2 linked regions of the Daphnia pulex genome follow. The protein of the gene in region 2 purifies or fractionates together with the protein of the main gene of each other region. This does not show direct contact. Links are inferred from orthologs where the notes say so. Each region holds a gene or a part of one and is shown on either strand. Other genes may lie near its edges. The genes, in order: paxillin-like and tyrosine-protein kinase CSK-like.

Region 1 (3,819 bases), on a different chromosome or scaffold from region 2:
CTTTTTTGTTTTCCTCACCACTTGGTTTATCCAATGACAACTAAACAAACTAGAGAAACCACTTTGAAAGATGAGCCGATAGAGGCAAAAGACGTTGGCTGGAAAACCCCCCCAAAAAATGGTTAACCGATTAACCAGGAAAAAAATTGGTTTCATGGGATGTCGCCCTAAGAATATTTATGGTAGAAATCGAATAAAGATTTATACTGTAATGTAGTAGTGTAAGTATATAGAAAATGTGTCTGCGTGTCATTTTCTTTTCCTTTTTTTATGCGCTGGTTTCCTTCATGGGGGGCGTGGGCGGGCGGGGATTACATTGAAAAATAGAATTCGATGTGGATTGAGTGGGGGGGGGGGGTTATCTTTTCACATGTGTTATTACATTGTAAACGTGGAGTCCGTCGTCAGTTGTACTTCCCCACCCAATCATTAAAAAAAAGAAGAAATGAATCATTTTTCAAAATCATTATTGTTTGTTGTTGTTGTTTCATTCCCTTCCGGAATTGTTTTGGTTTTTCATCCGAATAGGCGCTCGAAACATCCGTGGCAGTACGGCTTGTCTCCTTGCTCTTTGAACGTGCCCTTCTTCAACTGTTTCAGGCAATAGGAGCAGACAAAGTGTTCCGGGTGAAACTTCTTGAACATGGCCGTGATGCACCGACCTGATTTTGTTTTGTTTTTCGCGTGATAACAAAAGAACAATAACAAACAAATTCATTCACATCGTATACAGCAGTTACAGTATAATGGGTGAATAGAGAAAATGAGGTTAAACGGTTGTTGTTTTTTCACGCAAGTGTTATGGGGGGGGGAGGGGGATGTCTATTAAAGAGAAAATAAAGAAGAAGAAGAAAATCGTTACCGGTAATCGGCTTATGGCATCCGGCGCAGAGCGAACCTCTCTTGGCGTGGTAATGGATCTCACAGTAGGGCATACCCTCGTGAACGAAGAACGATCCGCCCTGGAACAGCATGTTGCAATCCTGCAAGTTGGAATGGTGGGGAAAAAAAAAAAAAAATAACAATTTAATAATCGCATTAGCAAAAGATCCATATTTGCTTAATTACTAAGTGAGGGGGGGGGGGTAATTGTTGTTTTTAATTAGACACCCTTAACGTCACCCGTACGCCGTTTGTTGTTGGAAAAGAAATGCCTTTCATTGAGTCGCTTTTAAAAATAAAATGTTAATAACGACTACAAGGGAAATGGCGAAGGAGGAGCTAGCAGAAAAGAGGGTCAAGAGCCCGAGACTAAGTGATTGTTTGACAGCCAACTACTGGTCGTAGTTAGTAAAGCCTCTCCAAAGAGCCCAAAAATAGGCGAAAATAAAAAGAAGAAAAGTCCGCGCCATTCTGCGGCGAATTTTCAAAAACCCGAAAAAAAAATATAACTTTTTTTTTTCGTACGTGTCTTTTATGTTCTGAGAATAGAAAAAAGGAGAGTCGAGAGAAAGGATGTCTTTATTTATACGCTTTCGCCAGCCTATAGATAGTATCCCTCTTCTTCTACTTCGCTAGAGCGGCACCGGAGAAATCTCTTATGACACGCCATGCGTCATCCGGTCGTTTACAGTTCCTCGAAAGCTGGCTTCAAAAAATTTTTTTTCTGCTGGTAAAGATCGACCGAGGGAGGAGGGCACAGCTGTGCAAAGCGCTTTATTCAAACCCCCGGGTCCAAAAGCTTTAAAAAGCGATGACAACAATCAAATGGACAAGACTAGCGCGCAAAAAAGAAGCCAAAATACAAAAATAACGAATTCTAATTTTGAAAGAAGAAGAAGCTCAAAGGTAAGCAACTTCATCCCGGCTCGGAGCTTGTCTCCGCCCTCCCACGACTTGACTGATTTATTCAACCCGGCTCTACACACACAAAAAGAAGAAGAAACCCATTGCGTGAACCGAACCATGGGGAGTTCACGAGAATGACGAACTTGCCTTTTACTTTGCAGCGCTCATTTTGCGTAACGATGTGAACTCATCCGCATCGTTAAAATAAACCCACCCAACGGGTGTGTGTGTTGTATATAGAAAAGAAATGTGACTGAACTAAACGAACTGTACTGCTACTACTACCCCGCCAAACCAGTCCAACTATACCATCCATCCAATAGTGCATGAGCCTCCCCGCCACCGAAGAGTCGTTAATCTTTTGTTTCTTTTTTGTTTTATTCTCTGACTATATGTACCAAACTGGAAAAAGTAGCAGCAGTAGAGTAGTAGTATGATTTGCTCGTTCGAGTGGAACTCTTTTTTCAGGTATTTTTGGTTTTTGGTTTAACTTGTTTTCTTTCATTGTCATTTTGTGCGAAAAAGATTCATCATCGCCAACATACATAACAAGACACAACACACAAAATGGAGAGAGAGAATAGAGAGCGAAAGGGGGATAGAAAGAAGAAAAAAAGTCAGAAGAAACAGCCAAAAAATGAGCCAATAATAAATTTGTTTTAAATAAGAGGAGGCACTTGGGCATGTCGCGCGGTGGGTGTGTTGTTATTTTTCAGGACTAGAACATCATCATCATTTTTTTGGTTTGTCAGGTTTCTTATTTTGTAAAATAAAAACTCGGGACTGTTTTTTCTGGTGGGAGTGGCCAAAACTACTTCAAGAGGAGCGAGAGAGAGAGAGAGAAAAGTGTGCGAAAGGAGAAGTGAGATAAGAAGCGCCGTGTGTTTTTTTGGGTTTGTGTTTTTCTTCTTCCTTGAAAATTTTCAAACACATTTTGGTTTGTTTTTGTTTTGTTTTTTTGTTTTGGGGTCACGGGGGTCACTTCATTGGCTGTCGTCGTCGTCTTCGGCATCGGAACCGACGCCCATACACTTGCCGCAAACTGGGCGCGAGTCGACCGTGTAAAAAGATCCGCCGTTGAGCGAAACGCGACAATCCTTCTCGGTCAAGAGATATATAAGAATGTCAACAACAACAACAACAACAGCGAAACGGACACACGTTACTAATAGGATTGTCTAGAAGAATAACCTACCTTCCAGGGGACAACATATCTGACGTCAATAAGGAAAAACTTACCCTGCAGACGAAACAATTGGGATGCCACTGGCCGTTGAGAGCCGAGATGTAGCCCTCGGTGATGGCCGTGGAACAGCCTTTGCACTTGAGGGCGAACATGGCCAGGTAGTCCTCCTTGCAGTATGGCTTGCCATCCTTCTCCTGGAATCCATCCTCGCCAAACTGGCAGCCGCATTGGGTGCAGAAAAAGTGATCCGGGTGCCACGTCTGATCCAACGCCGTCACGCATTTCTGTAATGGAACCAATTGGCGACGCGGGGGCGATAAAAGAAACACAACGTCCGAAAAAAAGAAAGTTAGTAGGAACATGTTAGGAAAAAGAAACAACAACAAAAAGAGGCTGCCAACAAGAACAAGTTTTCGGGTGATGAGGTGAACCAGACCAGCTGTCTGACACCGTCGTCCATCCATTCATCCGTTTCATCAGTCAGCCAACGTGCGTGACTCTTGTGATGGCTTCGCTCAGTTCGTTCGGGGCCACTTAAAAGTTCTATTTATACATTCTGGATAGTGAGAGAGAGAGAGAGAAGAGCTCTCCCGTCCAGGACCAACTGGACCCAACGCGTGTGTGAAATAGGGTCGGAATTTGCCAAATCAATTGGGCCCGCGGTGGGTGTTGAAACAACCAGGAAAAAGGCAACAACGTACATCTAGAATGGGTCCGTTGCAATAAGCGCAACGGGGCGAGAAGAGGTGGTGATAATCGGGTTCACAGTAAGGCTGGCCGTCGCGTTCGAAAAAGTTTTGCGTTCCCAACTCCTGGCGGCAGTGGGAGCAGACAAAGTGCTCCGG
Region 2 (4,598 bases):
GGTAAGCACAACCAGATTATGTACAGTTAACACGGTCAAGGCAGGCAATAATCGTAACATTATCGTAAACAAAAAATTAATAGCAGATTGATCGGATATTCAGGACGATTGGAAAAAAAATGTGTTAAAACGAAGCCTAAAGAATGATCAAGGAAGATGGGGCAAAAGGAAGCTCCGATGACGTCGCAACGTCTTGGCTTGATTTGCACTGTGGCTTAATTTTCTTTGGATGGTGATTTCGATGTTGAATTTTTTAAATTATAGATAGGCTTTTTTTTTAGATAACGATGGATTCGAACTGATGATGGTTGGCACGTTTGTCAATTCTTGATCTGAAGCGCAAACCTTAGTTTAATTTTACCTCTTTTCCTGGTGGGTTCTCCAAGTTCAAGAGAGGATCGGCTCGATACCCCATTGACGTCTGGCAAACAACTCCAATTCATGATTACTTTCGCCATGTTTCCCCAATTTCGTAATTGATTACTTGTTTGATTTCATTGGTCACGGAACCCCGTCGACAGACTGGAAAGGAAATGAAAGGTGGGGTATCAAATGAATCAGTGGGTTAAGTGCATTTGGTTCAGACGAAATTAGGAGTGTCTTTGAGTTGGGCCAGCTGTTGCTTGACTTGGTTGAAAGTGGGTCGCCGATCAGCGTTTAGGTCCCAGGCTTGTCTCATCAAGTCATGAATCTCTTGCGGACAACCCTCAGGTTTTTCCATTCGGTAGCCCTTTTCCACGTGCTTCACAACGTCTGCAAGAGGCTAAAACCAGAGACAAAGAACATCGAATAATTGAATCTATTTGCTAAGAAACAAATAAGGATATAAACTTACAATACGCGGGTAAGGGACTCGTCCGAAAGAGTAGATTTCCCACAGGAGAATCCCAAAACTCCACATATCCGACTTGTTGGAAAATTTCTGTGATAAATATGTGGAATGTTAATGACGAAATACGTGGTGAACGAAACCACAAATGTGACGATTAGAAAATGCTGTTACAACATTCCATTCTATTTTGAGATAGAAAGTTGGAAACTAGACAAAAATTTCTTTAACAATTTTGAACGTATCTGTAGTTGTAGCCCTGTGTGTAACTATTTGATGAATCTTCCTAGTTTGTTAAAAACAAAGGTAAAAAAATCTTCCTAGTTTGTTAAAAACTGAAAAAAAACTAAGTACTTCTGCAAAAGGTTTCTTTACAGCATTTAAATCATTGGGCATTAACTGAGAAATATTTGAATTAGATAACCCATCTCAATAAGCAAATTCGAATGGAAACTATACTTACACTATGTCTCAATGCCTCTGGTGCTGTCCATTTGATGGGGAACTTGCCTCCCTCTTGATTGTATATTTCTTCGCGAGCCAATCCAAAATCACAAACTTTAGCATCTCCGGTCTCAGCGACCAAGACGTTTCGGGCCGCCAAGTCTCGATGAACAACTTTTTTCGATTCAAGATATTCCATTCCTGAACAGGTATCACTACGGAGGTATAAATGAATAAATGAGGTTCGTATAACAATACGACAAGAAAGTAATATTACTAGGCAAATTTGATTTGATCTCGTTTGGTGACATGTAACCGGCCTCTTGAGCGAAGGTAATCTACTAAACTTCCTTTACTCATAAATTCTGTGACCAGGTAGAGGTGCTGATGCTGATCGTTGAACACCAAGCCAAGTAGTTGAACTAGATTCGGGTGACGTAAAGATCTATATCCCAGAATTGAAGATGTTATTATTTAAGGAAAATTTGTAAAATGTTTCCTACTTACGTCATTACTGATGCTTCAGCAAGAAATTTTTGTGCTGCTTTGCTTGAATCTTTCAATATTTTAACAGCTACTTTTTCTCCTTTAAAAGAACCTAGCATCACATCACCAAATTCTCCTTTCCCTATTGACTCCTTAAGCTATTTAAAGGGGAAAACTAATTTAGTGAAAACTGGCTAATGTTTGAGGTGTTTTTTTCTTCTTTTACTTGGAGATCTTTTTCTTGAATGATCCAGCCTGCTTCCTCAAAGTCCTTTCGATCAACACAGAAGTCCGTTTTGCCCTGTTTAGCAACACTCCTCTCAAGACGGGTACAAAGTCCATCTGCATCCTTTTCATAATGCTAAATATTGTTCAAAAGAAAAATCAATATTAGCCATTCAGATAGTCATAAACCTAAAACTTCCTAGTTTTAATTAATAAAAGCAGAATAGAGCTTACTTCAACAAGCTCTGCCAAGGTAGAAAAGAACTCCTCTTCATCAATGGTCAGTTTGTTATCTTTGTATATGACTCTGTAATGTTGAACCTCCCCTTGATAACTGACACAGAGAGTGTAGTCTCCAGGATAATTGGTAGACTCACGAACCAAGAAAAGACCATCTTCTCTTGGTTGTAGCAGGTTTTCTGCTTGTTCCCTTGAAATTTTCCCATGGAACCAGCTGAAAAAGAAAAACAAGCATAGTTAATGATCAACAGCATGATATTGAATGATGGTAATGGGAAAGGCTGTGACACTTACGGCATTGCATGAAGTTTTACTTCTAGTTTCTTGTTCATTTCGTTGTTTGAAGGCATTCACTAAGAGTAGTTCAATTTCACACTTATACCTTTAAAGGAAGATAAAACCGTTTCAGACACACCTCAAAGGCAACAAAAATATACAGTGGTGCACACGGAGTTCAATAAGTACAAGTTCGTTGTTGGACGGCCACCGGCTGTAAACACCTGTTATCCTCTTCACTTTATGGTACTTTCATGGGGATCAGCACATTCATAAGTAAAAAGTTTTGATGTCTTCACTTAGGGGTATATGACACATTGTTCTAACCGAGCTATTGAAACGGTTACATTCATTTAATCTGACGGGGCGAAACAAGAAACAGGCAGGAAACAGACTGCCGCCATAGTGTCGAGCACCTAGTGGCTTAAGTTTAAACTAAATGGACATGTCACTCTATCTCGAGTTCTTTTTGGGAAGTATTCGTTACCTGCTAATAACTACGTACGGTATACGTAAAATATAAAATAATTGAAATAAATTTTCATGGTAAGTTAAATCACTGTTCGGAAACCTAACCGTAAGTAATATAATGTAATTGTTGTAACGATTGTTGTACGATGTGTTTACTTGATGGTCAATTTATGAGACAAACAATTTATGAAAATGGGGATTCAAAAGTGTCATCATTTATTAGTTTTTAATCCAGTGTCATTTAATTGAACAACACAGTTAATAGCGATATTTGGTAGAATAATCTTTCGGTGAAACAACCAAACCTCGACCTTTTCTGGCTCCACGATAGACTGTTTCCACAATGTCAATCATTTCTTGTTTATCTTCTATTGCCCAGTTGATTTTATTGTTGTTACCAGTGCCTAAATCTATCATAATGTGTTTGTTACGGAAGAAAAACATGTTTGTGCAAGGATCATACAACTCGTACCTATATAGAAAAACAGTGAAAATCATTATTGGGATTCATTCATACAATGTAAATATGAAATTACATCTTATTGAAGTCAGGAACTTGGGTGATATCCACTAAATAGATGACAGCAAAGTTCTTGACTTTCTCTGCAATTTGATAAAGCACTTCATCCATTTTCATGCAAGTTGGGTCCCAATCATGACCAAAACGAATAACCTGTAGTAAAGCATGTTTAAATTGATAGTAATATTAACTAGAGAAAGTTTGATTTACCACTAAACGGTCCTCTTCTGAAAGAATTGCTTGATCTACTTGCCAACCATTAACAAGATGCTGTAACATGTAAGACATATTGTTTGATTGATAAAGGTCGTGAAAAAAGAAAAAGCTGAACAGTGCTTAGAAATAGATCTCGCTTCACGTTTTCAAACCTTTCCTTTCAGAAACCCGAAAAAGGTAAATAATGCGTCTGTCAACTTCACGAGTAACACGACATCTGTGTGTGAAATTTTCATCCACTTTCTTTACAAATTCATTCCCAACTCCCAAGGAATATAAACATATTTAACAGTATAAAAATGTGTATAGTTAACTATAAAATATTTAAAGTTTTACTAATAAAACATTTTAAAAGTAAAATAAAATTTATTTCTAATAAGGGATTATTCTTAAGATCTGGCAAGTGGCAATACTTTCGAATTCCCCCCCTGGCCCCCTTCCTCTTATCATTTGTTTTCAATTTTTCGTTCAGACTTCATGGCACGGGGTCGCCTTCAGAAACCCGAAAAACCAGTTGTGCTTTTACGTAAAATCAAATCTCTTTTTACATAACCTGTTGAAAACCGACTATGCTTTCAATCTAAACGAATTAATAACTCAGCCATTCCTTCAAGATAGCCAATAGTCTCAACACCGGCCATGATCACAATAAGCATTGTTATTACCATCTTTATTTTGTTGAGCATGAGTTCCATTCTTGGTATTCTTGTGTTTGTTGTTGATACTAAGTGGATACCAAAGATTATAATTGATCTCTACTCTTATGGGAAAAGTTGTGAAGGTAAGGTATTTGGCAGTTCAATCAGAACTATCCTTATTCCGAAGAGGTATTAAAGTTACTACTGCTGATTCCTTTACAATTAAAATTAAAAATTTATTTTAATCTGCTAA

What was found.
Region 1: the proteins of tyrosine-protein kinase CSK-like (region 2) and paxillin-like purify together in Homo sapiens (affinity purification with mass spectrometry; 4 studies listed by BioGRID and IntAct, with this or other methods). This does not show direct contact. The link is inferred for Daphnia pulex from reciprocal best matches to the Homo sapiens genes CSK and PXN.

What each region holds. Positions count from the first base shown.
Region 1 is NC_060022.1:1,457,521-1,461,339, reverse strand, and holds part of paxillin-like, read right to left. Parts: coding exon 3,676-3,819; intron 3,259-3,675; coding exon 3,028-3,258; intron 2,886-3,027; coding exon of another isoform or gene 2,772-2,885; exon of another isoform or gene 2,260-2,771; intron 984-2,259; coding exon 863-983; intron 663-862; coding exon 517-662; 3' UTR 1-516. UniProt on the Homo sapiens protein: Cytoskeletal protein involved in actin-membrane attachment at sites of cell adhesion to the extracellular matrix (focal adhesion). Recruits other proteins such as TRIM15 to focal adhesion.
Region 2 is NC_060018.1:1,948,181-1,952,778, reverse strand, and holds the start of tyrosine-protein kinase CSK-like, read right to left. Parts: upstream 2,926-4,598; 5' UTR 2,575-2,925; coding exon 2,519-2,574; intron 2,439-2,518; coding exon 2,219-2,438; intron 2,121-2,218; coding exon 1,986-2,120; intron 1,918-1,985; coding exon 1,781-1,917; intron 1,719-1,780; coding exon 1,551-1,718; intron 1,489-1,550; coding exon 1,293-1,488; intron 923-1,292; coding exon 836-922; intron 764-835; coding exon 581-763; 3' UTR 1-580. Other genes in the region: thioredoxin-like protein 4A, read right to left, coding at 3,230-3,443, 3,508-3,644, 3,702-3,779; polyprenol reductase-like, read left to right, coding at 4,347-4,534. UniProt on the Homo sapiens protein: Non-receptor tyrosine-protein kinase that plays an important role in the regulation of cell growth, differentiation, migration and immune response.